4 linked regions of the Struthio camelus genome follow. The protein of the gene in region 1 purifies or fractionates together with the protein of each later gene. This does not show direct contact. Links are inferred from orthologs where the notes say so. Each region holds a gene or a part of one and is shown in the gene's direction. Other genes may lie near its edges.

The links.
Region 2: the proteins of ERBB2 (region 1) and TFRC purify together in Homo sapiens (affinity purification with mass spectrometry; 3 studies listed by BioGRID and IntAct, with this or other methods). This does not show direct contact. The link is inferred for Struthio camelus from reciprocal best matches to the Homo sapiens genes ERBB2 and TFRC.
Region 3: the proteins of ERBB2 (region 1) and ATP1A1 purify together in Homo sapiens (affinity purification with mass spectrometry; 4 studies listed by BioGRID and IntAct, with this or other methods). This does not show direct contact. The link is inferred for Struthio camelus from reciprocal best matches to the Homo sapiens genes ERBB2 and ATP1A1.
Region 4: the proteins of ERBB2 (region 1) and ACSL3 purify together in Homo sapiens (affinity purification with mass spectrometry; 3 studies listed by BioGRID and IntAct, with this or other methods). This does not show direct contact. The link is inferred for Struthio camelus from reciprocal best matches to the Homo sapiens genes ERBB2 and ACSL3.

The regions. Positions count from the first base shown.
Region 1 is NC_090966.1:6,625,710-6,633,722, forward strand, and holds the start of ERBB2 (receptor tyrosine-protein kinase erbB-2), read left to right. Parts: upstream 1-5,006; 5' UTR 5,007-5,142; coding exon 5,143-5,218; intron 5,219-7,437; coding exon 7,438-7,589; intron 7,590-7,687; coding exon 7,688-7,874; intron 7,875-8,013. Other genes in the region: PGAP3 (post-GPI attachment to proteins factor 3), read right to left, coding at 424-576, 939-1,056, 2,467-2,915. UniProt on the Homo sapiens protein: Protein tyrosine kinase that is part of several cell surface receptor complexes, but that apparently needs a coreceptor for ligand binding. Essential component of a neuregulin-receptor complex, although neuregulins do not interact with it alone.
Region 2 is NC_090950.1:21,219,486-21,226,406, forward strand, and holds the start of TFRC (transferrin receptor protein 1), read left to right. Parts: upstream 1-3,916; 5' UTR 3,917-4,008; exon of another isoform or gene 4,009-4,018; intron 4,019-4,073; exon of another isoform or gene 4,074-4,198; intron 4,199-6,021; 5' UTR 6,022-6,059; coding exon 6,060-6,092; intron 6,093-6,921. UniProt on the Homo sapiens protein: Cellular uptake of iron occurs via receptor-mediated endocytosis of ligand-occupied transferrin receptor into specialized endosomes. Endosomal acidification leads to iron release.
Region 3 is NC_090942.1:93,474,273-93,482,150, reverse strand, and holds the start of ATP1A1 (sodium/potassium-transporting ATPase subunit alpha-1), read left to right. Parts: upstream 1-4,861; 5' UTR 4,862-5,161; coding exon 5,162-5,173; intron 5,174-7,878. UniProt on the Homo sapiens protein: This is the catalytic component of the active enzyme, which catalyzes the hydrolysis of ATP coupled with the exchange of sodium and potassium ions across the plasma membrane.
Region 4 is NC_090950.1:12,443,850-12,450,812, forward strand, and holds the start of ACSL3 (fatty acid CoA ligase Acsl3), read left to right. Parts: upstream 1-3,961; 5' UTR 3,962-4,034; intron 4,035-6,963. UniProt on the Homo sapiens protein: Acyl-CoA synthetases (ACSL) activates long-chain fatty acids for both synthesis of cellular lipids, and degradation via beta-oxidation.

The DNA.
Region 1 (8,013 bases):
GGTCTGGCTGCCCTCCCACACGGGCGGGCTGAGAGCCAGGGCCACAGCAGACAGGAACGGGGCCACAGCGCAGGGCCACGGGCTCCCCCGCAGCAGCGGCCCCTGCAGCCCTCCGGCACGTCACGGAGCACCTCCTGCTGCTCCGGGGCACCCAAGCTGGCTCGGACAGGCCTGATCCCTCTCACAGGGGCAACGTATCAGTCACCACTGACCAGGGATCCCTTCAGCTTGCAGGGCCCTGCAATAGCCCCAGAGGTATTCAAGGTCCCCGTGAGAAGGGAGAGACGACGTGGGCTAAGAGGGGACCCCTGAAGGCAGCAGGGAGGAAGCAGGGAATGGCTTCTTGCCACTGTCCTGCCCTCCCCGGGCAAAGCGTCACAGCACAGGCGCCTGCGGCAGCAGGGAAGGTGCCATGCGGCTCACCCAGGCGAAGGTGATGCACGTGTGGTACATGGGCGAGGAAGGCGGGACGGAGGCTTTGTAGCGGTGCAGCATCACAAAGCTGGCGAGGCCATTGAGGAAGGAGGCGAAGGCAGACGCGGGCTCCTGGAAGAACAGGAAGCGAGAGAAGGGCCACTAGAACAAAAAAGAGGAGGGAGACGGACGACAGAGACGTTAGCGGTGTGGATCGCACTATTCCGCTGGCCACGGCTCTCAGCAGCTGCTGGCACAGGCCTCGCAGACGTGGGAGCCGGGCTCTGGCTGGGGATCAGCACCCCCATCGCGGGGGGCCCCCCCCATGGGACTCAGGCCCTGATGCTGGAGCGGCCCCGAGGCGTCTCGAGCACGCCTGGCGCCGCGGGAAGAGGGAGCCCCTGGGTGGTGCAGCGGCTGAAGGCACGGGATGGGGGAGGACAGCCTGGTGCGCGGGGCGGCCCCGGGCCTCGGGGGCACGTTTCCCGCATGCGCGCACGGCGCTGGGCGCCGGCCCGGCTCACCTTGCCGTGGAACTGAGGCACTTTGTAGCCGCCCTGGACGTAGACCTGCACCGTGAGCCACATGCACTCGTACTTGCAGTCGTCTCGGCAGGTCCAGCCTGCAGCGGCGGGAGAGGAGCTGGCGGCCAGCACAGGCCTCCGAGGACGGGGAAGGGTCCCTCGGGGGCTCAGCCCTTCCCGGGTACCCCGTCCCCAGTCACAGAGCCCCCTCCAGTCAATCCCAGTGCAGACACCGGTGTGACCGTTAGGCAGCGCAGCCTGACCACCACCGCAGCTGGGGGCTCTGGGGCCCAGCTCGAGGCAAGGAGAAGCCCACTGGGGGTTGCCCTGCCCAGTTGGGGAGATCCCCACTGTCTTGGGCACAGGCAGGGGCAATGTCCAGGCTCCAGTCTTCCCCAGTATGCTCCAGTGCCCCCCAGCAAAGCCCAGCACAGCCCAGTGCCCCCCAGCATACCCCAGTGCCTCCTCAGTATAGCCCAGTGCACCCCAGCATGGTGCTGCACCCACCAGTAGCACTCAATGTCTTTCCACAATGGTTCAGCACTGCCCTGCAGTCCCCAGCACAGCCCCAGCATGGCAGAGCACCCCCTAGCATGGCCCCAGTAAGGCCCAGTGACGCCCAGCATGCCCCTAGTATGGCCCAGCAAACCTCGGCACGGCCCAGCGTCCCCCAGTATCCCCCCAGCATGGCCCAGTGTTCCCCAGCATGGTGCCAGGATGGCCCAATGACCTCCAGCACGGCCCAGTGCCCCCCAGCACGGCCCAGTGACCCTCAGCATGCTTCCAGGATGGCCCAGTGTCCCTCAGCATGGCCTAGTGTCCCCCCAGTATGGCCCAGTGACCCCCAGCATGCCCCCAGTATGGCCTAGTGTCCCTCAGCATGGCCCAGTGTCCCCCCAGCATGGCCCAGTGAGCCCCAGCATGCCCCCAGTATGGCCTAGTGTCCCTCAGCATGGCCCAGTGTCCCCCCAGCATGGCCCAGTGAGCCCCAGCATGCTTCCAGGATGGTCCAGTGCCCTCCAGCATGGCCCAGTGACCCCCAGTATGCCTCCAGGATGGCCCAGTGTCCCCTAGTGTCCCCCCAGTATGGCCCAGTGACCCCCAGCATGCCCCCAGTATGGCCTAGTGTCCCTCAGCATGGCCCACTGTCCCCCAGTGTCCCCCCAGTATGGCCCAGTGACCCCCAGCATGCTTCCAGGATGGCCTAATGACCTCCAGCATGGGCCAGTGCCCTCCAGCATGGCCCAGTGACCCCCAGCATGCTTCCAGGACGGCCCAGTGACCTCCAGCATGGCCCAATGACCCCCAGCATGCCCCTAGTATGGCCTAGTGTCCCCCAGTATGGCCCAACGACCTCCAGTATGGCCCAGTGATCCTCTAGTACGGCCCGGTGGGGCCCCACAGCCCCGAGGCCGCTCGCCCGCCCCGTGCGAGGGAGGGGGCGGAGCTTCCGAGGGGCGGGACCTCGGCAGGAGGCGTGGCCTCGCCGCGCCCAGCCAATGGGTGCGCGGGGCGGGCCCGGCCGTACCTGTGAGGCTCATGTAGAGCGGCTGGCGGGCGCGGAAGTGCCGCAGCGCCGCCCCGGAGCAGTTGCGCCGCTCGCAGCTGGCCAGGCAGTCCCGGTACAGCGGCTCCCGGTCGCCCTGCGAGCCGCGAGCCGGGCCTGGCGCCGCCGCCGCCCCCAGCAGCAGCAGGAGCGCGGCCCGAGCGGCCCCCCGAGCCGCCATGGCCGCCCGGCCCCGCCGTTTCCGGCCGCTGCCCCGGAAATGGCGTAGTGCCGCGGAGCACCACGGGATATAGCGCCCCCTCCCCAATGGCGCCGCGGAGCACCACGGGATATAGCCCCCCCCCAAAATGGCTGGGGAGTATAAGGGATATAGCGCCCCGCGTTGGCCGGGGAGGATCACGGGATATAGCGCCCCACTGTGGCCGCGGAGGATCACGGGATATAGCGCCCACCGCAACGGCTGGGGCCATCAGGGGTTATAGCGCCCCCCGATGGCCGTGGAGGATCACGGGATATAGCGCCCCACTGTGGCCGCGGAGGATCACGGGATATAGCGCCCACCGCAACGGCCGGGGGCATCAGGGGTTATAGCGCCCCGCGATGGCCGCGGAGGATCACGGGATATACCGCCCCACTGGGGCCGCGGAGGATCACGGGATATAGCGCTCCGCCGGGGGGGGGGGTCACAGGGCCGGGGTCAGCGCCATGGCCGGCCCCAGGGCCTGGTGGCTCCCGCCGCCCCCTCGTGCCCCAGACGGTCCCGGGTTGGGGACAGGCGTCAGCTCCAGGCCACCTCGGCAGAGACCCACCACCTGCTGCCAGGCTGTCCCCCTGTCCCCATGCCCTAGGACTGGCCCCACACCCCAGGGCTGTCCCCATAGCCTCGGATTGTCCCCCTGTCCCCAGAACTGTCCCCACGTCCTAGGACTGTCCCCACATCCTAGGATTGTCCCCATGCCCCAGGACTGTCCCCATAGCCCAGCACTGTCCCCCTACCCCAGGAATGTCCCCATGCCCCAGGGTTGTCCCCCTGTCCCCATACCCCAAGGCTATCCCTGTGTCCCCATGTCCTAGCATTGTCCCCCTACCCCAGGCCTGTCCCCATACTCCAGCACTGTCCCCGTGTCCCCACACCCCAGCACTGTCCCCCCGCCCCAGCACTGTCCCCCTGCCCCAGCACTGTCCCCGTGTCCCCCCGCCCCAGCACTGTCCCCACACCCCAGGAATGTCCCCATGCCCCAGCACTGTCCCCGTGTCCCCCTGCCCCAGCACTGTCCCCCCACCCCAGCGCTGTCCCCATGTCCCTACACCTCAGCACTGTCCCCCCACCCCAGCGCTGTCCCCATGTCCCCACACCCCAGCACTGTCCCCACACCCCAGCGCTGTCCCCGTGTCCCCACACCCCAGCACTGTCCCCCTGCCCCAGCGCTGTCCCTGTACCCCAGCACTGTCCCCGTGTCCCCCCGCCCCAGCACTGTGCTCCTGCCCCAGCACTGTCCCTGTACCCCAGCACTGTCCCCGTGTCTCCCTGCCCCAGGGCTGTCCCCGTGTCCCCACACCCCAGCACTGTCCCCATACCCCAGCGCTGTCCCCGTGTCCCCCTGCCCCAGCGCTGTCCCCGTGTCCCCACACCCCAGCACTGTCCCCATACCCCAGCGCTGTCCCCGTGTCCCCCTGCCCCAGCGCTGTCCCTGTACCCCAGCACTGTCCCCCTGCCCCAGCGCTGCCCCCATGTCCCCACACCCCAGCACTGTCCCCCTGCCCCAGCGCTGTCCCCATGTCCCCGTACCCCAGCACTGTCCCCGTACCCCAGCACTGTCCCCGTGTCCCCCTGCCCCAGCGCTGTCCTCCCGCCCCAGCATTGTCCCTGTACCCCAGCACTGTCCCCGTGTCCCCCTGCCCCAGCGCTGTCCCCGTACCCCAGCACTGTCCCCGTGTCCCCCTGCCCCAGCGCTGTCCTCCCGCCCCAGCATTGTCCCTGTACCCCAGCACTGTCCCCGTGTCCCCCTGCCCCAGCGCTGTCCCCGTGTCCGCACACCCCAGCACTGTCCCCGTACCCCAGCGCTGTCCCCGTGTCCCCACACCCCAGCACTGTCCCCCTGCCCCAGCGCTGTCCCCGTGTCCGCACACCCCAGCACTGTCCCCGTACCCCAGCGCTGTCCCCGTGTCCCCACACCCCAGCACTGTCCCCACACCCCAGCACTGTCCCCGTACCCCAGCGCTGTCCCCGTGTCCCCCCGCCCCAGCACTGTCCCCCTGCCCCAGCGCTGTCCCCGTACCCCAGCACTGTCCCCGTGTCCCCACACCCCAGCACTGTCCCCCTGCCCCAGCGCTGTCCCTGTACCCCAGCACTGTCCCCGTACCCCAGCGCTGTCCCCGTGTCCCCCCGCCCCACGACCGCCCCCCCAGCGCCCCGCGGTGCCCCCCGCGCTCTCCCCCCGCCCCCCCAGGAGCGCCCGGGCCGGGGGCGACGCCGGCGGTGGCAGCGGCGGTGCCCGGGGCAGCGGCGGCGGGAGCGCGCGCGGGGGCGGCGGCGGGAGCGCGCGGCGCGGCCCCGCGAGGCGGAGCCCGGGAGCGCGGCGGGAGGAGGCGGCGGCGGCGGCGGCGGCGGCGGCGGCGGCGGCGGCGGCTCCGCGCCGCAAACTTTGGCGGAGCGGCCGGCGCGGGGGCCATGGGCCGCGGCCCGCGCTGAGCACCATGATCGCCGCCGGCGGCTGCTACCTCGGCACCGGGCTGCTCCTGGCCGCCCTCTGCCCCGCCGCCGCCGCCGAAGGTGGGTGCGCCGCTGCCGGGGCCGCCGGGGACACCGGGGACACCGGGCCGGGGCCGGGTCCCCCCCCCCTCCCTCCCCTCCCTCCGCCGGCGGCAGCCGGACTCGGCGCAAAGTTGAGCGCGGGGCGCGATCGGGGGCGGCTCGGGGTGGGGGGGGGGGTGTCGCGGCAGGGTGTCCCGGGGGGGGGACAAGGGGGGTCCCGTCGAGCCTGGGGGGGGGGCAAGGGGGTCCCGCTGATCCCGGGGGGGGGCAAAGGGGGTCCCGTCGAGCCCCGGGGGGGGCAAGGGGGTCCCGCTGATCCCGGGAGGGGGGGGCAAAGGGGGTCCCGTCGAGCCCCGGGGGGGGCAAAGGGGTCCCGCTGATCCCGGGGGGGGGCAAAGGGGGTCCCGTCGAGCCCCGGGGGGGGCAAGGGGGTCCCGCTGATCCCGGGGGGGGGGGAAGGGGGTCCCGTCGAGCCCCGGGGGGGGCAAGGGGGGGATCCCACCAAGCTCGGGATGGGGGGGGGACAAGGGGGTCCCGCTGATCCCAGGAGTTGGGGGACAAGGGGGGTCCCACCGAGCCCCGGGGGGGGGAGACAAGGGGGTCCCACTGAGCCCGAAAAGGGGGACAAGGGGGTCCCGTCGAGCCTGGGGGGGACAAGGGGGATCCTGCTGATCCCAAGAGCTGGGGGGCAAGGGGGGTCCCGCCGAGCCCAGAGTTGGGGGGGGTGAAGGGGAGCAGAGACGGGGTAAGGAGCACCCCCCCCCCCAGCCAAAGGAGGGGGGTCCCGGGGCGGGGGGCGCGAGGGGAGGTTGAGGCCGGGGGGGGGGTTCTCGTCGCCGCCCCGGGGCCGACGTCGCCCCGCGCCGTACGGCCAGACCCGCCACCCCGGCGGGAAACGCCGGCCGCCCCTCGACGCCGCGGGGCACGCGGACCGGGGCCGGCGGCGACGGGGACGGGACCCGCTCGCCGGCAGGCGTCGACGGCACCCGCCGGCCCTTGGCACCCCCCCCCCCCCCCCCCGGCGCGGCGCCCGCCCCAGACCTTGAGCTTCGGACCCGACGCTCGCTGCCAGGCGGCGCGGGGAGGAGGGACGAGATGGCGGCCGTGTCGTCCCCCCCCCCCCCCCCCAACAGGGCAGCTGCCGGGCCACCGGGCCGCTGTCACTCAGCCGCCGGCCGCTCGTCCGGCCTCCCCTCCCCGCTCGGCCTCCGCCGCCCTCCGGCCCTGCCTCGGTTTCCCCGCGGCGTCCAGGCCGCGCCGTGGGCCGCCCCCCCCCCTGCCTCCCCACCATCCAACCCCCGTTGTCCCTAGCAGACGGATGCCATGCCGGGCCGCCGGCCTGGCCCCCACCGAGCGGCCTCGACGGGGAAACCGAGGCCCCCGGCGGCGGGATGGCGGCGGCCCGGCCCGCCCCTGCGTCAGCCGCTCGCTCCCCAAACATGCCCGACCTGAAAAGGCGGTTCCTGCCGGGGCGAGCCGCGCCGCCGCCGCCGGCCGCGGGGGCCCCGTGCCACCCCGCCGGCCGTGACTCAGCCGCCCGGCCCAGGGCGGGCACCCGTGGCACGACGGCGCCAGTTCTCAGCTCACCACCCCCCCCCCCCCAAAACCGGTGCTGCTGTTTTTGCCCGGGGAGGGGGTGTGTTGGGGGGGGGGGGTGTCCCCAAGCAGTGTCCCCACCGCGAGCCCCACGGCCGGAGTGGACACCCTGCTCGCTCCGGGAGGGGGCCGGAGGCCGCCGGCGGGGCCGGCCGGGGGCTCCCGGCATCCGCCGCCGCTCAACAATCGGGTCTTGTCTCGGCGCTCCCCCCTCCCCGGCCGGCGTGGGCAGAGCCTTCCCGCTCCCGCCCGGCCCCGGCGAATCCCGGCGTTGGCGGGAACGTCGGCCCGGGGAGCCCCGCGGCTCCCCGACGCCTGCCCCAGGCTGGCCCCCGCCGCCCCGCTCCCACCTCCCCGGACCGGTTCCCCAGCCCGGCTCGGCCCCGGTGGGGTGCTGGGTCCCCCCCCCCCCACCCCGGGGTGCTGTTGTCCCTGGGGTGGGGACGGCCACGCGGGACGGTGGTGGTGGTGGGGGGGGGGGAGCGGCGGTGCCGGAAGCTTATAGGAAGCTGTTGGAAGCGGCTCCGGAGATCGCTGGCGGCGGCGGTGGCCTCCGCGGCATTTCCTGCGGAGGCCGGCGCTGCCGGCTCGCGTTCCCGCCGGTGCCAGCGCCGCGCTGACGTCCCGCTCTGTCCCCGCAGTGTGCACCGGCACCGACATGAAGCTGCTGCGTCCCTCCAGCCCCGAGAGCCACTACGAGACGCTGCGGCACCTCTACCAGGGCTGCCGGGTGGTGCAGGGCAACCTGGAGCTCACCTACCTGGCCCCCGACGCCGACACCGCCTTCCTCCAGGTGAGCGGGTCGGGGACGCCCCGAAGCGGTGGCACGGCCGGGACCCCCCCCCCGCCACTGCCGGGGACCCTCACGCGCCGCCCCTCCGCCCCGCGCAGGACATCAAGGAGGTGCAGGGCTACGTGCTCATCGCGGAGAACCGGGTGAGCCGCCTGGAGCTGCGGAGCCTGCGCATCATCCGGGGCACGCAGCTCTTCGAGGAGCGCTACGCCCTGGCCGTGCTGGGCAACGCCGGCCCCGCCGGCACCCCGGGCCTCGGCCAGCTCGGCATGAGGCACCTCACAGGTGGGCAGCGCGGCGCGGCCTGCTCCCCGGGATGCTTGGGGGGGGCGGTGGTCCCTCTTCGGGGTTGGATGCTCAGGTTGGGTGTCCCCATGGGGCTACCAGTCCCCCCAGCGGTCCCTGCCCGGGGCTGGGTGTCCCC
Region 2 (6,921 bases), on another chromosome or scaffold:
TGGCTTTTGTTTTCTCTCTACTTTTTAACTGCCTTCCTAAAATGTGGGTAGGACAGCTGGTCACATGAGTGTCAGCCACTCTGACATTGAAGTGAAATTGCCCCCACATTTTGGGCTCATGTTTCAACATTAGTCCTGCAGGAGGGACAGCATCGCATGCTGGAGTATTGCCCAAAGGCAACATGGAGTCATCTGAGCCCAAGTCAGGGGAGTCACAAGCACCCCAGAAATTCAGAGAAAACAGTGACAAACATCTAAAATATCAGAGCCAAGCCACAACGAAGAGGAACAACCTGACGGAAGCCAGTCTAAAGTAGGATGCCAAGACGAGCAACGAGCATGGAGGCCCCTACGCAATACCACAAGCAAGAGATGGGCCAGGCAAGGAGTAGAATGGGCAGAAGCAAACAATTCAGGGCAAGCTGCAAATATGCACAGCATGACACAGCAGGGCTCAAACAACAGTCTGCAGCAGCCAGATTCAGAGTTTAAACACTCAAAGTTCCTGCTTTTTTCACGGACTTTGGGAACTGGCAGTGGCTCCTGATTATTATGGACCTAAACTGTGCCATAATCAAATACAGAGGGTCCATGCATCTTACTGGACCACTTTACCTCAGCTGTACTGGATCAGAAGCCAGCAGTCCTCCATCCATGGGTACCATGTTGCATTTGAAGGATGGTCTTTTTAAAGGTATTTCACCATAGCTAGCTCTGGTGCAAAAATATCTGAGTTTCTAAAGCACCAGCTTTCTTCTCTTTTCCTGGCAGGTGTAAAAATGTGGAAATGCACAACACATGGCCAAACATATTCCGAGAGAGAACAGAAAACACCTGCAGTGAGTATTTGTCAAGGGAGTTTAGGGCTGGTACCACGTGGCACATAGCAGCTGCTCTGCTAGAAGGAATAGAGACGAAAGCTGAAGAAGGACATGGAGAGAAAGAAATTGGAGTTTCCCTTTACAAGCTTGCATTTCAGCACCGTTATCTGGGATCTCCTGCGCCTGACTGAGTTCTGCTGTGGGTGTAAACTCCTCCTGTCGGGCCTTGGTAGTCAAATGCTGCTCTGCTCTGCTCTGCTCTACTTTGATTACTTTCTCCAGGGGTCAGAGCCGCTGGAGGCTGAGCAGCAGGCTGCATCCAGACTTTTGTGTTTAAAAGCCACCAGGGTATCCATCCTCCAGGAATGATCTAACCCCTTTCTGAGCCCATTTACGCTAGAGCCTGGGTCTAACCTTCTCCAGAAAACTGAACGCTGGTCCACGCGTACATCTTGTCAGCGCGCCTGGGCCCCGTTTTAGGGGAGACTTATCTCCAGACAGCCACATCAAGTTTCAGATCTAGTTAATCCCCCCCTTTACCAACGCAGGAATGTATTTCTTTTCACGAAACATAATCCTCTTTGCAATCATGGGTTATACCAAACTAAACTTTCTGCTCCCATCCTGCTTTCCCTGGAGAGGATTTGAGGTAATAACCCAGGCGTACCAGCTTATTTCTTTACTGAGCAAGGGAAAAATGAATGGAGCATCACAGAACACGCGCACACCAAAATCTGGAAGCACTACCCGATACCAACACTCCTTTGAGCGGCTCCCTGAATTCAATGACAGACGGGAAGCAGTAACCTCAACTCATGCTAGAGCACTGGCAGACAAGGAAGAGGAGACTGCAGTTGTAGCCAAGGCCTGTTCGTGACCGTGGGCAACTCTGAAGAGATGAAATGTCAGCATGTGTCCAATGAGGATGAGATGTTCTGCAGGGTCCAGGCAGATGCCCAGGAAAGTGCAGGGTCTTTATGAGATTAACCTTCAGCAGAAAGGAAGAAAGGTAAATATCACAGCCCTGGCAGTCCTCGGGGACCAGCGCCAGAAAGAGCACCTCTGCAGAGCCCCTGGGAAGCGGGGCCGCAGCTGGGACCTGGCTGTGCCGTGGTGCAGAGCTCTCCACTCGCCTCTCCAGGGCTTGCTCACTAATCTCCCTTCCTTCCCAGCCAGTGGGATCAGCTAGTTCTCAGCAAGGGCACTGAGCTGAGCATCCTGGTCTCTCTGACCTCAGGCTTCCCCCCACCCCGGGGCTGCTCCTGCTCTCCTGCAACCTGTCCTAGCTCAGCATTTACGGCACTCTAGGACCCCACAGGACCAAGCGCGGTCGGGGGGAGTGGGAACATGCCCCCATCACATACAGGGGAGCCTGCCGGCACCCTAGTGATGCTGGTAGGGTGGCGTGATGCCCCCCCCCCACCACTCACAGTCAGCAGTTCAGGCTGTCCTCGTGACATGTTTTGGCTGAATGATCTGTTTGCGTTTCCAGTTACTTTGCTTGTTGAAGTTCCTCATTGCTCCTGGAGTTATTGCTTTCACCACCCACTGAGGCTTAACCTGGCATCAAACTGACAACTGGAGATAAAACTGCCAACAGCACGTGTGGTTTATGGGTTTCTCAAATTCCCCCCACTATACTGTTTCCCATTTTCACCCTAAAATCACTAAGTTCTCTCTCTCTCTCCTTACGTGTTGCTTCTTCTTATGAATCATTCAGAAAGAAAAATGTTTACCAAATCTTTATTTTGTCAGATGACCGACACATTCTAATTCGTCCAGGTTCCTTAAAAATAAAACAGGGACGCATACAAGTTTGCACCTGCTCCCTTTTGGAGATTGAGCTCTACCCCTTCACCCAAGACAGGTGCCCTAATGCCCTTAGGCCACTTCAGATGCTCCCAGGGTCCGAGTCCCCAAATACAGCCTGTAAATATGCTCTCAACGACCTAATCCCTTCAGTGCCACTCCTGTAAGCATCATGGACAAGATGCAGGCCACCCTCCAGCCGTTTAAGCGCTGATGTAAATAAAAATTGTCATCTAACCCCCAAAAGGGGATTATGAGCGTCTCAATGAGGCCCCTGAGAGGGGCTGCAGGGACATTAGCCCCCCCTCCCAGGTGTAACTTTGGCCCTATAGCCAGCGTGCTGTGGGCCTGGGCGAAGGAGGCTCTAGTCACCGAGCCGCACGCTCCCCTTCTTGCTCTCATCCTTATTTTGGTCCGTACGGGTATTTAACTGCCCCTCATTCAAAAATCTTGTAATTTCTTCTTTATTTTTGCATAAATTACCACTTGACGGATCAGCACAGCCCTGCTGTTTGAGAGCTCCCCTAAAAGCGCCTGTGATGAAAACTCCCCTGAGTGAAAATGCGATTAACTCTGCTGCAAGGCACGTGGGAAGGGGAAGATAATACAGAGCGGCTTTAACCTTGCTCCCGCTGCCCTTGCTGCAATGGGGCCATGCAGTGCTTTCGTTTCAAAGCCCGAGCTCGCAGGGAGCCTCACCTCCCGCCACAAAGCAGAAAGGCGGCAAGAAGCGCTTCCGCCCCTGCCTGCCTCAGCTTGCAGCCTGTGCCCCAGGCCCCCGGCAAGCAGCAGGGAGCCCGAGCGTGCCGCAGCTTGGCCCGGCTGCCGCCTGGGTGCCCCGCTCGGCGCAGCAGGCTCCCGCCTTTCGCAGGAGCGAGCTTTCTCCACAGGGCACCTCGCCAGGGCACAGGCCACCTGCCACCGTCGGGCCAAAGGGCTGCGCACCGAGGTGGGCGGGGGGAAGGCCCGCACCGCACCCGCCGTTACCCTCACAGTCCCGCCTCGCGGATCCGGACTGAGCCCCCCAGAGCCCCTTTAACCCTCCCAGAGCCCCTTTAACCCCCCTCAGAGCCCCTTTAACCCCCCCTCAGAGCCACTTTAACCCCCTCAGAGCCCCTTTAACCCCCCCTCAGAGCCCCTTTAACCCCCTCAGAGCCCCTTTAATCCCCCTCAGAGCGCCGAAGCGCAGCCACAGCGGGAGGGGGAGGGAGGGGCACGGGGGGGGGGCAAAGCGCGCGCGCGCGGAGGGCAGAGAGGGGGAGCGCCTGCGGCCGCACGGTGGGCGCCGATTGGCTGAGGGCGCGGCGGGGGGCGGGGCGCGCCGTGGCGGGGAAGAGCGGCGCCTCGGCAGGCGCTGCGGCAGTCGGGCTACGGCGAGGTGAGACAGGGTGAGGCGGGGAGCGGAGCCGCGTGAGGGGCGGCGGTGGCGGCAGCGCGCGCGCGCGCGCGCCGGCGCGGACCGTTGGGGAAGGAGGAGGAGGGGGAGGGGCGGCGAGGCGAGGCGAGGCGAGGCGGTGGCCGCGGGCTCCTGCGGGCTCCGACCACCGGAGGGCTCCTGCCGACGTGCGGTGCGTGCAGGGCGAGCCTCGGGGGGGGCGGGCGGGCGGCGCGGGCCGTGCCGGGTCGGGAGGGGGGGGGGTCGCGGCGCGGCAGCCCCGGCGGGCCCCGCTTGGCGGCGGGGCGGGCGCGCACGTGGCCGCCGCCGCGGCTGCCATGTCCGCCTGACCTTGAGGGCGGGCTGGGCCGCGCCGCGCCGCGGGGAGAGCCCCGGGCCGCGCCGTCAGGGGGAGGCCGTTGCCGCAGGCCCGGCCGTCCCCGCCGTGCCGGAGCGGGGCGAGACGTGCCCTCAGCGGCGGGATATCGCCGGGTCTTCTTATCTGGGGCCCCGCAGCCGGGCCCTGCCCTCCCGCGGTTCCAGGAGGCCGGGCGGTCGCTGCTCTGCTTGTTCCCTTGCCGGGGGCGGGGGGATGCTGAGCGCCTCCGGGGCGGCCAGCCCCCGGCTCGGCTCCGCGGGAGGAGCGGTGGCCCCTGGGCCCGTGATATCCCCGAGGCGCCGCCCCCCCCCGGCGGGGGAGGGGGGTGGTGAGCCGCTGGAGATGGCTGCGGAAGGTCTCGCTGCGATTTCTGCAAAGCATGTATGTGCTGTGCTCGCGCGCTGCTGATGTGTCCCCCTCCTGACGGGAAGGCAGCCCCGCTGAAGCTTTGGTGAAGTCTTCCCCTCGGGTATCTGACTTTGCTTCTAGAGGGCTCCCCTCCCTGTCCATTGCAGGGGCTGTGCACAGCCCTGTTGTTGTGCTCCGAGTGCTGTGCGAGTGCCTGGGCCCCTGACTGTCAATCGGGGCAGGTTTCTGAAAGCTGCCAGGAGGTTTATCTGCATGTACTCTTGCTCTAAGCAAAAGGTGAAACAATGGATGGCCACCATTAACCTTTGATCATCTCTGCTCCTGATAACCTGATTATACTTCAGAGCTCCCAGGTGTAAAAGTAATCCACGTGCATCTGAAGACCAGTTCAAATGCTCTGCCAGGCTTAAACTCACAGATCATATCCTAGAGTAGCGCTGCTAGGAAACTGCGCAAGTTATATGCTCTCAACTTAGCCAGCTGTCACAGTGCCTCAATGTCTAGGCACTAATTTGCAAAGCTTCATCAAATATCTTTCCAGGAAAAAATGTTTAAGCTAAAGTAACTCAGGTTCTGCTCTGTCTTTCAGATAAGCCCACAATCCAGAAAAATCCAAACTATAGAAGTCACTGAAATGCTTTTTGTGCCTTGACAGTTGCTCTTGACTAGTCAGGGAAACTGTCCAAATACTGAAATTGCTCTCATAAAGAGAGAAAGAACATAGCCGTCTATAGGCGGCCTTATAGTTGAAAGAGTTTCTGTAGAGTGGGAATTTGTGCTGCTTCAGCTTACAGCATTGTGCTACTTCTGGCTACCAGGCAAGCTCTTGTCTTGATACTGTCATTGAAACAGACCCCACAGGCTGCTTTGCTAAGTAGTGTCCTTTGTCACCACTGAGCAGCTGCCTTTTGCCAGCTCCCCCTAAAAGGTGGTGGCCTTAACGTTAATAAGACCCTTGGCTGAATTTAGGCATTTGAGATTGTGTTCCTCCTTTTTCTCCCTCTTTCCCTCTTCCCAGTGCTCAGCAAAAAGATTCAGCTTGTCCATCTGAACTTATATCTGCAGTGGGAGTATTTGAACTTACAGGTTGTATTTCAAGGGTAATTGATGAGCTTGATATAGACCGACTGCAACTGTCGTGACTTACATAGAAGCATGCACATAATGGTTCTGGACAAGCATCCTACTCATAACGGTGACTGACTTGGACCTCTTCTGTGGTGGGAGGGGAGCAGCCTGACTTGATGTATTGCCTTCTAAACTTCTAGGGCTTTGGTCAAGTTGGTGGGTGCTCCTCCAGAAAGCAATGGACCATGCCAGAGCAGCAATTTCCAGCTTGGTAAGACCCCCTTTCCCCTCGTTTGTCTCAAGTTGGTGGGCTGACAGTACTGCAGCAACAGAAGCACGATCCAGTGGAGTCCATATCAGTCTCACAGGAGAGAACAAATCCAAAACACTTAGATATTACTCTGTGGGTTGTGACTCTGAGCTACAGACTTCACTGTAGCTGCCTGCCTATGATGTGGAGGTGGCTTAAGAAAGCAGTTGAGTGCTGGTGAGGGTTATCGTTTGAGTGCTACGATGTCTTGAGTCTTTCAGGAAGCTGAAAAAGTGATAGGGAGGGGGGTGAGCCTTGAACAATGTTCCAGGAGGAAGTACTGCTGAGGAAGCTGATTTGATGCCTATCAAGACAATCAACATTCTATTATGTTACTTGGTGGAGGGGGGAGGGAAGGGAACACATGCAACCGTGAGTCCAGCCTTTGAATGTAATCTGTGCTTTGAAACAAGTATTCCAGGAGGAGGTAGCTCTGAGCTTGCTTGGCTAAGCCTGTTGATCCTTAAGAGCTTAGTCTGTGAAATGACCCTGGGCTAGAACTGCAAATATGTTGGTCTGGTCCCTGAGCAGGTATGGAGGATATAGGAGGTGGAGGTGTGTCCTCTGCAAAGTGTCGGGGAAGCCACAGTTGCCTACAGCTGAGCAGGGAGACTTTTTTGCTAGGTTAAAGTGAAGCGTAGCCACTGGCCTCTAGCCAGTCTTCTGCATGTCTCCAGCATGTGTCCAAGCATGGCTGGGGGCAAGCTCAGCAGCTCTAATGCTAATTCTGTGGTCCTGCTCAGTTCCTGGTTAAGCTTGGAATTGAGTTAACAGTGTCTGTTAATCTGAG
Region 3 (7,878 bases), on another chromosome or scaffold:
CTTGTTTTCACAGGGTCCCCCCTACAAGTAGTCTTCGGGAATTTGTGACCCAGCAGTTTTAAACCCTTAGTCTAGCAGTTAGAGCAGGGACCAAGCTCTTCTCAATTTCATCCTTTGATCTACTTTGCTGCATGACTGTAGTAAACCTCTGATTCCTCTTCAGTAAAACAAGAAAAAAACAGTTTTGAAGTTCTCAGGCTGAGACACTTTGAACTTACTATTGAGAAAGGCTGAGCAATTGAAGTTCCCACCTACAGAAGCAGCAAGTGCCTAGGAATTTTGTATAAGCACAACACTAAAGCACTCAAAATGACTGGAATGCTTGATATTTTTGCTCTTCGCCTCTGCAACCCACAATGCCGTGACTTTGAATGAAGGTTATACCATTTATGTGCAATGGCAAAGGACAGAGACTTAATTTTCAAAGGGCCATTAAGGATCCATTGTAATGTTTTTGCAACAGTATTTGAAGGATTTACTTGAAAGGCTTCAGAAAAATGTGAAATATTGTCAACAACGCAAAATGTTTGTATCCATCAGCCAGAGGGAGGGAAAAAGTACATGAAGAAACTCAGCCAAGCCTGACTAGATGTAGTGGATCTTGATCTTTGTTCACCCCATAGTTAGATATTGCTCTCCCCGGTCATTTTAATGGTATCCTAGCCTTATCTCCTAAGGTGATCTCATTAAAGCCAGGAGACAAGCCAGCAGGGAGTGTGAGACCTGTAATTACAGCTGGAAGGTCGATAGAAATACAGTTACATACAATCACCTTGTGTTCTCTGTGTCCCCTGGTAAGTGAATTACCCTTTAAAAAGCCTGAATCCCTTTTGGATGCCTTTTTAAACCTCATTTATATAGAGGCCTCATGGTGGAACTCATCTCACCTTATCCGCACGGCGGCTGCTTTTGTTGCCTGCTTTAGTGCGCTGTAGGTAACTTCATCCTCTAGAGACTCTAGAGATAAGGGACAAGTGGCTGAGGAAAAACAGCTTATTTGGGTCCAGCTGCATTCCCTTGTTTTGCTGAGGAAGTAGGAGCTGCAGGAGCATGTCACCTCTGAAGTGAATGGCACTGCATTGTCCAGAGGGAAAATGCTCCAATGTCCACAAACCTAATTGCCACTAAAGAAGAAGCTTTTCAAGGTGAAGGCCAAAGTGTGGCGCTCGCTACAATACATGCAAAATGCTGGTGGAGACAGGGGATGCCATAGAAAGCAATACTAGGCGGGAGATGGGATTCTTTCCTATTCTAGGTAGAATCCATTACGGGGATCTAACGTCCTAGCTTTCCCAGCAAATGCAGCCCTAGGCTGTGGCAGCTGCAAAGGGGCAAAGAAGATTTGCTTTTCTGTGTTCAGCTACATGCCGCTTGTTAGCGAAAGCAGGAATAAGCCTGAGTGGAAGCTGCTATATCCAGCAGCAAGAGCAAAGGGCTTTCTGATCCTTGGACTCTTTACCTAGAATCTGCTGAAGCTATTCTACACGCCTACCACCTTCTCACTGTGACTCTGCTTTCCCATCCTTAATATGGGCATAATAAAACTCCCTGGTGTAAAACACTCTCAGGTTCCCAAAGTAAAAAATGCTACAGAAGGACTGTATGATGTACATGCTATTAATAACAGCAGTAGGCATTCACATAATGCCTTGCACTGTTTTCATAATGCCTATCTCCATTCATTGCATCTAGCACTACCTACCCCTGGAATTTGAGCAGCCCACAACTGCGCCAAAAACAACGAACAGTCAGAAGGAAAAAAAGCATATTGCATCAAATCTTCAAAAAAGATTCACAATTACTCCCAGCCTGAATTGAGCAGGACACACAAGCAAGAATGTTCAGGTGTTAAAACCCGGCTGGATTTAATCCAGTGGCAGGAGTGAAGTTCCCTGAGTGTTATCCCTACTTCTCTCAGCCACCCTGCCAGCGTTATCAAAAAGAGTTTGTAATTGCTTGTAGATACTGAAACCAGAGCTTTCCTATTTTTTCTTAAGCTAATCCCTCTTACACCTGTTTCAGGAGGAGAATACAAGTACTTTACCCTCTATGCCTGGTTTTACACAATGAATTTTCCTTTGGCCCCTAGGGATTTGCTCTTACTTTAAATCACCGCCAGTAAGAGAACTGGGATACGCTTTTCTCCTGAAAGAAGTCGTAGGTGTAAGTTTACAACACCACCGTTGCACATGACGGTTTCACATGATGAAGAAATGGCAACGCGTCGAGTATCCCAAAGCAAATGATGGATCAAATTTACACTGCTCCAACTCAGCTATACTGTTCAGGCCATAAGCTGTTTCACTTCAAGGGGCAAAATGTATTGGAAGTTGTTTGGAGGGGTTTTTTAAAATGTCATACGGAAGATGCCTCACAGCTACATTGAAAGAAACTGAAGTTTGGTAAGGAGTGAAAATGAAATGAGTAGGTGATTTCAGTTCAGAAATTCCCAACCGGTTCCTAATACCTCTCCCTGCAGCTGGCAAGATCTAGCCCTTTATGGGAAGTCTTAAAAGAAAGCCTCAAAGATGAGTAATGAGAGCTAAATGAGAGCTCTGCCTTGGGGTCAAGATGGTGCAGCTTGGGAGGGAGACTGCTGCCCAGGCGCCATGTGTTTTCTAGGTAAATGGAAAGCTTCTGTCTCCAAGTCTGTCAAAACAGTGCCAGGTCCAATAAAGACCACCAGCAGCACAAAACGGATCTTAGGCAGAACGCTAAAAACGGGACTCGAAAAAAACCTGCTTCCTTGCCCTCTAAAATTGCATCTGAGCTCACCACTCTAAAGTTTCTACTTTGAAGTTCACTGCGTTCAGTCTCAGAAGTGCCTCAGTACCGAGCAGGCAAAGCCACTCGTAAGCCCAGCTGGAATCCCAAAACATAGTGTACATTTGTCTGCATGGACTCAGGTGTGAAATGTCAAAGCAGGTCTAATGCAGAGTGAAGGACCAAGCTTCACAAATGCTGTGGAGCCTCCCATCTTCTTTTGAGACACAACCAGCAAGGAGATGGTTGTAGTGGCATCCCTACCCCTTGCATACAAGGGTCTGTTAGCAAACAGGTTGATCACAAAGCTCTCACCCAGGACCTGAAAGGCTGAAGTTGTCTTCTGCTGAGGGGGGTTTTAGCCCCTGCTTACTAGCATGGTGCTTAACTACTTGAATGTAAGCTCTTCTCTCCAAAAATGTTCTCAGCACCCCAACAGCTAATCCAGTGTGTTTGGGGCCATCGGCAGGGAAACCCTCCCATGGGGAAGAGGCTACTGAAACACCTCCGCGGTGGGGTCCCCTGGGTATTTCACAGCTCATACCAGGTCCTGTAGGCTCTGTTAAGCTGTCATGAAAAAAAAAAGAGCAGATGCTTGTTTTCTTTGTGTATGAAGACAGAATTAAAAAGCAAACTGATCACAGGCACAGAGTAGCAACTTTGGCATCCATCAACTTTTCTCAGATTTTTATGTATAAAAGGAACCATGAGGATCACCTAGTCATGCTTCCTGAGCAATACAGGGCACAGAAATCTCTCCCGTAACTCTTTGCTGAGTCCTGATCACAATTTGTAGTAATTACTGAACTTTAAAGCCTTTAGAGCTATTTTTGTCAAGTTTATTCACATCTACTGGCATACAGGATGAGCTTTAACCTCAGCTTAGCAAGTCTGAAGCATTTCAGGCAACACGTAACCCAAGCCTACCAAGCACCCAATGTGATAGCAGAGAAGCAGAGAATGACTTGGTTGGAAAGGGCCTTCCTGAGGTCTTGAATCCTCAGAGCAGGGCTGGCTTCAAAGTTAGACGGGGTTGCCCAGAACCTGGTCCAGGCAGACTGTGACACCTGCAAGGACACACCTGCACACACCAGCCTCTCTGGGCACGGTGCCTCAGCGCGGCGCCAGCCTCGCGGCAAAAAACGTCACCCCAGATATCCAAACCAGAACATGCTTTGCTAAAATTCGCATGCTCCACGACAAGCTGCGGGGGCTGGAACCGAACACGTCCCGCTCCTCTGGGTCCAGCCCGGTTGCAGGCCAGCGATGGCAAGCAGCTGTGAGGCACGCAGCCCTCCGCGCGGCCCCACGGAAACCAGAGAGGGGAAGAGCGGTGGCGTGGGGAAGCCCACGGCTCCCCTCGGCGTGCTCCCACTCAAGCAGGACAAATCAAGCCCCCATGCCTCTAGGGTTGCGTTTTTCAGGGGAAACTCTCTGGCTTATCTTCCCTGTGGTGCTTTTTGATGTCCTGTCGGGATATCAGCGGAGAGCGGTTGGACTTCTAACGCAAGGCTCTTTCAACCTGCGGCTCTCAAGCGCCGGGGAGCGATTCAATGTTTACTTAACGTAAAGGATACAGGACGGCTGGTTCCTATCGTGACCTTGGAGGCTCCTGTCACCACGCAGTTGCCACTGACGGTGAATAACGGCCATTAGCGATAAATTACGTCAATCTCTTCAGATTTCACGGGAAAGCCGGGGCAGCTGGCAGGAACACAGCCACCCCTCCCCAGCCCGGCCCGGCCCGGCCCGGCGCAGCCCGACCCAACCCGACATGGCGCCGGCGGCGGCCCCGCGAGAGGCCCCGCGCGGGGCGGCGGCGGCCGGGCCGCAGCGCCCCCCGCCGGCCGCCCCCTCCCTCCTCCCCACCCGCCGCACCGCTTTCGCTTTCTTGCGCGCCCCTCTGCCCGCCGCGCCCCCGGCTGCCGGGGGCCCCCCGGGAGCGGCGGCCGGGGCAGCCAAGGTGAGCCCCAAGGGGCAGCCGCGGCCGGCGGGAGGGGCCGGGCCCGCTGGCAGCGATCCCGCTCCCCCTTCCTCCTCCTCCTCCTCCTTTCTCCTGGCTGGGCGCCCGCGAGGGGCGGGGCGCGGCGCGACGCGACGGGGCGGTGCGGAGAGGGCTCTTTATGCGGCGGGAAGCCGGCCGCGCTCGGAGCTGCGGGTGGCTGCAGCAGGGGCGAGGAGCTATCGCCGGCGGGGGCACGGGGGGCGGGGGGAGAGGAAGGCGAGGCGGTAGCAGCAGCAGCAGCAGCGGCGGCGGGAGGAGGACGACGGAGCGGCGGGCGGGCGGAGCGCTGCCGCTATTGTTCCGCACCTGCCGCCGGCCGGGACACGTGGCGCCGCTGAGCCCCCGCACCTCGCTAGTAGCACCCGCGGGCCCCGCACGCAGCCGCCCGGCACCATGGGCAAAGGGGTGAGCAGGGGCGGCCGCCGGGAGCAGGGGCGCGGAGCGGCGGCGGGCTGGCGCCCCTGGGGCGCGGCGCGAGCCGCGGCGGGGCGGAGCGGGGCGCGGCGCGGCGCGTGCCCGGGGCGTGGGCTGTGCGGCCGGGAGTGGGACGTTCAAGGAGCCGCCGCCGCCGGGGTCCGCGGGCGGGCTCGGCCGGGGCAGAGCGGGCGGCCGCCTGGCTGCGGCTACCCTCCCTCCCCCCTCCATGCCCCGCCGGCCGGGTCCGTGCCGGGTTGGGAGGCGGGCGGGGAGCCGGCTTGGTGCCGCTGACGCCGGTGGTGGCGGCAGCGGCGGGGGAGCGGCCGGCGCTCTAGCGGGCGCCAACGGCTGCCGCGGCCGTTGGAGGGTGGTGCCGAGCGCCCCAGGGGCGGGCCGCGTGCTCCGTGAGAGGAAGTAACGGAGATTGGGGGGGGGGGGGGGGGGAGAGGAGGCGGCACGAAGGCCCCGGCAGACGGCGGGCCCCGCCCGCCTGGGAGGCCGTGGGGGAGGGCTAAGACGTGGTTCGCGGTGCCGGGCAGCACTTGGCGTTTCTGCCCCGGGGAAAGCCGGGGGTGGGGAGGAAAGGGTGGAGGAAATACTTATTTAAAAGTTGAAGCTAGCGGTTAGGGTATATTATAAATAGGCGCCTATAAATAGGTTTCGTTTTTTAAGGCTGAGCTCTTAGGAATAAGTCTCCCAAATCTCATCGGCCCAGGCTTGTCGCGTTCGCCTTGCGTTCACCCCCTGCGTGGTTTCTTTCTGCGTGGGCCGAGCAGAGGGTGGGAGTTGGGTGCTGTTCTTGAAAGCTGAGCGATGCCTCCTCCTGGCATGAGGCAGAAGTTTGCCGGAGCTTATCCTGTAGGAAACCTCTCGCCTACAGTTTTGGGGTGATAAGCCCTCCTTTTCTTTGCGCGTGCTGTTGGTGAAAGCATGCTCCAAGCTGAAGGTTAGCCTGTCAGTTTTCTTGTCAGCATGGGAACAGAAATGTGCTCTGGTAGTGATGTTAGTGGGCTGCCCTTTTGGAGCTCGGCTTGAAAGCGTGGCTGCTCTAATATCTTTTTGGCCGTTATAAGAGTACTTTAGACTTCTGGAGGCATGAGGCGCCAGGGGGAGGTGACAGGCTAAAAGGCCCTGCTTATTAGTGCTCATTTGCTTATTAGTACCAGTGAGAATGTGATAAGACTTGATGGACTGGGGAAGATGATCATTCAAGACTTTATCGTGTCCCTCCGGTTAATTGGTGTGATAAAGTCTCCCAGGCTGCTGTGCAGCAGTTTCTAGATACTTGAGTGAGGAGTTGTTTCGGCACTTTGTTTCCTTTTAGCTTTCTATATTATAACCCACAATGAAATGAACTCCTTAATTCAGATTGTATTTTTTGAATTAAAAATAAGTATTTGAAGGCTCTTGGAAGCAGAAGTCAATACTCTGGCTTTTGATCACAGTAGCAAACTTTGCAGTGTGGGGAGCAGAAACACCTCTTGGGTTGCTCTGATTTTGTTTGGACGAAACAGCAGTTTCTCTGTGTGGGTTTTTAGTTTTTATTTGTAAGGGGTTTAGGGTCTCTTCCCCTCCAAATACTTGCTCCTAGATGTTGCACAATTGACGGGGAATAGATTTTCTTCCTGCTCCAGACTCTTTCCTGGCAAAACTCATAATTTCTCTGCTTCCATGAAGACAGCATAACTGCAAGGTTCCTAGAGACACAGGGATACCACGATTGTTCCCCAGTCCAAACCAAGATTGCTTGATGGTGCTTGCTGCTTACAGTTGTTCTGCATTTCTGAAGTGCTGTTCAAATATCGATCAGGACAGCACAGTGTCAGGCAGTGCTGTATAGCAGTGGCAACATTGACGTGAGTAGCAGAACTGTGAATGCAGCTGAAAGGGCAGTTATTTGTGAAAGGGGACTGAGGAGCGTTCCCCACCACCACACGCCACCACCATACATCAAGCTCAGTATCCCAGTGTAATGTATTTCAGGCTACTGGGTGGTTTAACTGATAGCAGTAACTTGGAAGGAACAGGCACTGTACGAGATCATCTAAGAGATAAATATGGGGGGGGAGGTTGATAAGTCCTCTGGCTGCTCTAGTTCATCAAAGAAGCCTTAGAAAGCTTTCCTGACTAGGATGCAGAAGGCTTCATGGGGGAGTTTAGGCTGTCTTGACTTGACCGGTGGGAGCTAGATCTTTCTTTCATTAGAAATTAAGTAGCTTATGTGTATAATAAGCAATTTGGCCTGAAACTGAACCTCCAACATGAGGGGTAATACAGCAATGTGTGGCTGCCTCAGGCTTTCTGCTAGAAAGTCGCAAGATTGGCTCATTTGGCAGTGAGAAAGCATGCTGTAATAGGGATACCCTGAAAAAGGTGGATGTGAAAGAGCAAGAAGTTGGAAAAGACTGCATATGATTGCAAAACTGAACAGCAAGCACCTGTCCTGACTTAGGGTGCCCAGAAAGGAAACCTTTCTTCTTTCCCATGGAAGCCTAGCATTGAAGAGACAGTAAGTGTGTGTGACACAGACAGACCTCTCTTAAGTGCTTGCATCTATGGCTCTGAAGAGAAGCTGACTAGAGCATCTGTTTTACTTTAAATGGTAATAGGGCGAGGGGAGGGGCCTGAGCTGCCTGGGTATGTCTTTCAGCCCAAATAGCAGATCTATCAAAGGCTGTGTGAACTGGAGAAAA
Region 4 (6,963 bases), on another chromosome or scaffold:
GAGCGGAAATGGCGCTGAGCCAGACGTGGACACCAGTGGGTGGTGGTCTGAATGGGTTACAGAGGCTGGGTGGCTTTGACTTAATCTGTGAGAAGGCAAACCAGCTGTCATCGGGGAGTGCAGATGGACAGCTGTGTTTCAGATCGCTTGCATTAAAAAAAAAAAAAAAGAAAATGAATTGGAGTGTAACATATAACCATCCCCACTGGTTGTTACTGGGCTCCCCCGTTACCACCTGCTGCCAGACAGAGCACGCTTGTTCTCCCTCCAGCTCTCACTGCAGAGGGGATTTGTTTCCTCTTCTGTTCTAGGCTGTAGTCTTGATTGCAAGTGAAAACTGCACTCTTGGCTTCCCTCCAGAGTTACAACCCAGTTTCCAGGACTTGTTGAAAAAAGAAAAAAACAAAAAACCAAACACCCAGCCAACCTTCCATAAAATTTAATCTCTTCTCTGATCATGAAAGGCACCTTTTTAACGTATCAAGACTGACTTTTGATGTCATGCCAATACTGCTATTGTTTTCTTGGCATTGTTAATTTGAGTAACTTTCAATTAAATCTTTGACAGAAAAATAGCTTTCAGTTGTGTATTCCCTACAAATACATCATTTTAATTCATCAGATATTGAATAATTGTTTTTCATTAAAACAGCAGTCTGAGCCCAGGTAAAACATCTGTTTATAGCGTGGTTATATAGATGGCTTATTTTAATAATGTATAAACATTTAAAATAAAAAGAATTAGAACATAATGTCCAGGTTCTGTTAATGTTTGACAAGGACTGTTCAACATCTGCTAAGTTTTGGTGAGGGGCTCCGAGCAAAGGAGCTAGCACTGAAGGGATATGTAATCTGACAGTCAAATTTGTAAGTAAATAGGCAGTTCCACTTATGCATCCATATATATATATTTGTATATGGCCATGTGTGTATGTATGTATATATTAAAATGATTGATAGAACTTTCTCCATCCAATTTCTGTTCAGCTCTTAGAGATTTTGAATGACGGATTTTAATAGGCTTTCTTAGTTCTCTTGTAAGGCTGTTAAAGACTCGCTCACTGTTGTTTAAAGCGATCTGAGGGTCACCGTTATTCTATTCTATCCCAGTTCAAATTTAGTAATACTAAAGGGGAGGGTTTTATGTTTTAAATTTAAATTAATTCCATCAGCATTCTTATAATTATTTGTGGCTTTGGTCCAGCTTCTCCATGCCTTCCCAAGGCATACCTGGGTTCTCAAAGGTATTTTACTAAGTACGGTAATATTGATAAAATTAAGTGAGGTCTTTTGAAATGCAAATATGCCCCCCCACACCCCGTGGATTTCTGTTCTGCTTAGATTCTTCAAAAGATTCCTGATTAATGATCAATTTCAAATAAATCTTAGTAACTAAAGACATAGCCCAAAAGAACCGAGTCTGGACTGGCGTTTTCCCTTTAAACTTAGAATCTGAGTGCGAGTCTGGAGCCTGACCTTATGGCTGAAGCTCATATGCAGTCGAATGTGTTGAGCCAATACAGTGACTTAAGCTGCTTTCGAATCATTCCCCTCTGACAAAAGCAAGTGAATGAGGATTGAACAAATTAATTCAAAGATGCCAAATTGCAGACAGTCTTAATTGTACATAATCTAATGTAATGACAGTCTCGGGCCGTGACTACAGGTTCCTGGTATTCTCCCTCCTAACTTGTTCCTGCCTCTTCCCCGAGGGGGAAGGTGCATTGTGTTTGTTTTTTTGAACTGAATCATTTCAGAAATCTGGCCGAGAGCACGGCCACGCAGGCAGCGAACTGGAAGAGCTGCCGGGGTCCACCCGCGATAAGGGCAGAGGAGGTGGGAAGGAGCGCCTGGGCGAGCCCCGCGCACGGGACGAAACGTCCCACGGCCTTAGATGTGGGTCCGCAGGGACTGCCAGGAGCCGGGGAGCTCAACGGCGGATGAAAATCAGACATGAGGGTCACACCTGGTCACACCTGGACCTGCCTAAGCTCTTCAGGTATTTGGGTATGGAGTGAAGTTTTCATCCAGATGGTATTAATAGAAATACGCTGACTTCTGCGGCGAATGGGACTGACCCATGCTGCTTTAATTCAGCGGTGAGGAAAAGAGGGCCTGGCTTGGCCGTGTGGAAACGACCTTCACCAGCTGGTGGTATCTACCAGAGAAATGTCTGTTGGTGGTCGTCTTTTAGTACTCAGCCACTGCTTTAATTAAGGGTTTTACTTGAGCTGGGCCTGAGGAAGAAGATAGATGTTGGGATCTGGTTGTTAGCAAATGCAATATTTACGTATTTTTATTTCAGTATGTAAGTCTTTTCATTTAATGGGTAATAACATTCTATAGATAACCTAGGGATGGATAAAAATATAAAACAGCTTAACGGAGAAAAAAAAAGCAGATGTGTTAAGAGCATTTTGTTCCCTTTTCCTCATTTGCAAGCCTCTTCATGGTTCTCAGCTCTTGACTGCAATGGGTTTTTTAGCCTCTGCTGTGATTATATCAACGTACCTGATGCAAAACCGCCGGTGTAGATATGCTGCCATTATCTACGTGATGACCAGGGCAGCGAAGGCAGCAAATATGGCTTGAAAATGCAGGGTGTTGACAGCAAGGAGGGAAATCACCGTGCACGGGGCACACTGTGGAGTGTGGAGAGTCCCGTGACAGAGGTTTTCTTGTTGGCCTGTTTGTTTGTGTTTCGCTTAGAGGATGAGCTGGAGAGAAGGCCAATAAACACAGCCAGCAAGCAAGGTGCTGTCAGGCAGAGGGCACAAAAAATGGTGCTGAGTCACATATTGTCCTCTGGGCAAGGATGTCAGTCGTTACCGGTCAGGGTGGCGTCTGAAGTGAGGGCTGCTCTGCCTCAGTGTCTGGTGTTCAGCTGTGCAAACAGGCACGCTGCGTACGCCGCTGCCCCAGGTATTTACTCACACACCTACAGCTGTGCTAGTAACGCTTTAATTAAGCAGGAGCCAACCCCTATTGGAGCCAACAGGATTTTGGCTCAAGTGAGAGGGATGTAATTTTGCTTTTTAGTTAATGTGTATTGCATATAATTGAACCTGCTGCAGGAGAGAAAGGCTGATCTTAAGCCGATAATTCCTTGTTTAGATGTGACTTAAAATAACTAGCTTTGGGGAGCAGCGCTGATAGCAAGGAGAAGTGGTCTCCTGCCAGGACCATCAGCAAGCTGCAGAGAGCCCGGGAACTGTCACTTTGACTAACCTCGGAGGCCCCTTATCCCAGCCTTTCATCACCCGGTGAACGGCTGAATAAAACCCAACAGCAAGAGCTGGCCGGAGCCAACAAGAACTGAAGAGCTGCGGTGGGCTGGGAACTCTTCTTCCCGTCTAATTTCAGCAGAAGCAATCTGCCACCCAAGTAGGGGAGAATTCAGTTAACAGAGCTAAGGGGCAGCGAACACAGTCGTGTGGACATGATCATTAAGCCTGGTAGGAAGAGGGGCTATTATCTCAATTAGCGCCCGTGAAATGGAATACAGATGCACCAGCTTCCAACTGTTTACCAAATATATCCAGCTTCCTGTGGATACACACTTGTTTGGCCGTTCAGGTTGTCACAGCTAGTTCTTACTGTTACATTTTGAAGTCTTAGCTGACGATGGAAAAACAAAAGCAAGCCGGGAGGAGGTGTCACTGAAAGCGGGTGAAGAATCCTGGCGCTGTAGGCAGTGCTGCCGGTGTGAACAGCACGCCGTGCGCTGACAAGCTGGTAAAATGCATCTCTCTCAGTCATCCTCACGGGTCTGGCCATAACTATGCTTTTAGTTACAGGGCACCACAAGTATGCATGTTGTTTTTCAAGTATGAAAAGCTCTTTTGCCTGTAGTTGGAGTCTCTGATACCTCTAAACTTTGTTCCTAGTCTGGTGCAACTGTTCGAGGTTTGTGTTGCATGTGCCACAACAAGCGATGAAAGTAAATAAGGCGGAGGGCAAAGGGGACGGAGAGCAGGGGTTACAGCAGCTCGGTCAGAGCTTTTGGGTTGTGCTCTGGGAACAGCCTGGGATGGGTAAGTTGTTCACGGGGACTGCATTTCTCGCAGGGGAGGGAAAAAACTGGCAGGAGATGAAGCAGAATTTTCAGGGGACCCAAAAAATTTAGTTAAGCAGGAGAATTACCTGCTTGTTGGCCTCTTCTTTCCCTGGCACCGGTTTTGTTGCGTTCCTTTGAAAGAGATATTGTTGAAATACAGCATCTTTCTCTTGAAATTGCCAGTTTGCAGTTTTACTGTCTGCATTGTCAAGGACACGCTGTAATCATCAGTTCCTCCTCTAGCATGCTGTGTTATGTGTGCGAGTGCTACTCCACAGCTGGCACAAAGGTTACTTATTTTAGACTTAAGCGAGTCAATTCCCACGTTATTATAGCATATATGTATTTCCTAAATCAAGGACTGGGTTCTGCAGACAAAAAGTGTTTCTTGAAAGCCACGTTGTTAGTGTAAAATTTAAAAAAATCATTACTTGCACCATGGAAAAATCTATGTTTTTAGTAGTAAATCTAAGATTGCATTCTTTACATTCTGGATTCTGAGCCTGTAAATCTTTCAGACTTTGTTTGTACAAGCACTGAAATCTTAGGTTTTTTTAAAAATAAAAACTAATTTTTCTTATATCCCTAACTCTAGTAAATGAAAATTAGGAGAAATACAGGTTCCCACAAGGCTCACTGTGATGCCTAGCAGTGCTGTGAAAGTGTTGCTTTTCAGCAGGTTGGGAGATGATGCGGTATCTTAGGATTAGGAGCTTGACGATTTAGTATTTCTCCAGATGGAAGATACTTACTAGTAGCATAAAAAACTACTCAATAAGGGTGATGAGGTGCAATCTGTTCCATATTGCATGATTCTTTGTGTACTTGCAGAATAGCACTAAGCAACTTCTAAAATCGGACTGAAAGCTGGATTTTCTCTTGAATAAAAATGACTGTTCTTTTCATGGGGTAATTACTGTCTTGTTGATTGTTACCTTCAGTGCTGTGGACTGAGAAAGAGCTGGGTAATAAATAAGTAATAAATAAGTAATAAATAAGTCTAATAAATAAGTAATAAATAAGTCTAAAGAGGTTTATGTACTGATGTTGCAAACTGTTAGATAAAGACAGATATAAAGATAGACCAGTGTATCTTTTTTTTTAAATGAGTTTTGTCCTTTGAAATGGTCACAGGAAACTTAATATTGCTATACAAACTGGTATCCCTTACACAAGAAGAATAAGGAGATATGAGCTGAATGCCCTTTATTACTATCATCAAAGTAAGTTTCTTAATAAATATTAGTTCTCAACGTTTTTTATCATACTTTCCTTGGCTTGGCAGGAACAATGCAAATGACACCTAATGACAGTTCTTCTAGCTGCTCCTATCCCAAAGGCATCCAGGTTTCAAACAGTGATTAGATATTCCACAATATACTTTCAGTAACTTCATTTATTACTCACTATTATATTACTATTATATTCACTATTATTATTCACTATTTATTATCACTGTTAATTACAATACCACCGGAGTAGTATTGCTGTCTATTACTAACTTACAAAGAACCTTGAAAAAATAGTTGATCAAATTTATCTGAAGAATACTTTATGGTAAAACAGCCCTTTCGTTTACACACGTTTCTAACGCATCAGCGTGCTACAAGACTGATTGCTCTTATTACTTTAGCATAATAGTTAGTATCTAATTTTAAGAGCCTAATGACTTATAAATGTCACACCCCAAGATTTTACATTGATGCATATTTTGAAGATAGTAATAAAACTGTTATTTAGGCCTCCAAAAACATAGTTCATTTCTACCTGTTTCCTTAAGAGGCAACTATTGCCCAACCGCCCCCAGGCAACAGCAGTACCTTGCTCCCATGAAAACTCATGCTGTTGGCTGTGTTAAAGTCCCGTTCTGGAGGAAAAAGGAGGTGACTCAGGATATGCAATTGAGTTTTGTAATCTTTCAGAATGGTCTTCCAGGAGCAAAACAGGTTGTGTGAGAACACGGCCTTGATGAGCTGTGCTAATTACAACGTCTGGTTTAAAATTCCAGGCTTTTGTCTAAACCTGAGAAATGGGTGAGACAAACTGCCTTCCAAAACAACCTAAATACATTAAACCAAGTACAGATATACTGTAAAATTTTTACAGAGAATAACTATTTCTAAGGTGATCACTAGCTAAATGAAGTTTAGTTTTCCCCGCGTTGTCATAATCATGAAAGCGTAATATATTAACAACACACATTTTTGTTTATGGAAGGTCTCTGTGAATAGCAGTACTATCATGTTGTAGGATGACAACTGCCCGCATAGGAACACAATGGTCCTTGTCCACTCTGAGTATATTATGTCCTTTCAATGCTTAATTGGCTAGCAAAGACAAGTCCAAAATATAAGTTGTGAGTTGTTTATAGTTTGAGAGGATGAAGTCATGTTCCTTGTCTTCTTGCCAAAGGTAATGAATGTTTGGATCAGGGTTAGAATTTCCTGGCATGGGTTGTCTCCAGAAAGGTCCAGAATACAGTATTTAGGAGGAAATACCGCTCATGTTTTAAACTGGATCCATTTCAAGACTTAGGACTTCTCTGAGTTATGATGTTCTCCTTCGAATGTGATAGTTTTTTTGTTTCCTAAGGGAAGGGTTTAGAGGAACAATCCCTTTAAAATATTAACTGCATGTAAAAAAAAATTGTTTTTAGTTTTTTACATATATTCACAGATATTCTACTTTCATTTTGTGAACATGCTCATGCCTTGGAAATACCAGAAGAGATAAGGAGTACATAATGCAGTATTTGAAGAACATAAATAAGATCCATTAGTTGATCAAGCAAGCGGTCTGTAGTAATGCAGATCGTGATGTTCAGGTGTCCTCATTTATGTGCTGTTAAGATAGCATGATTGTAGTCTTCCTCATGAGCTGGCTTCCTTAATCTTAATCCTTCTAAT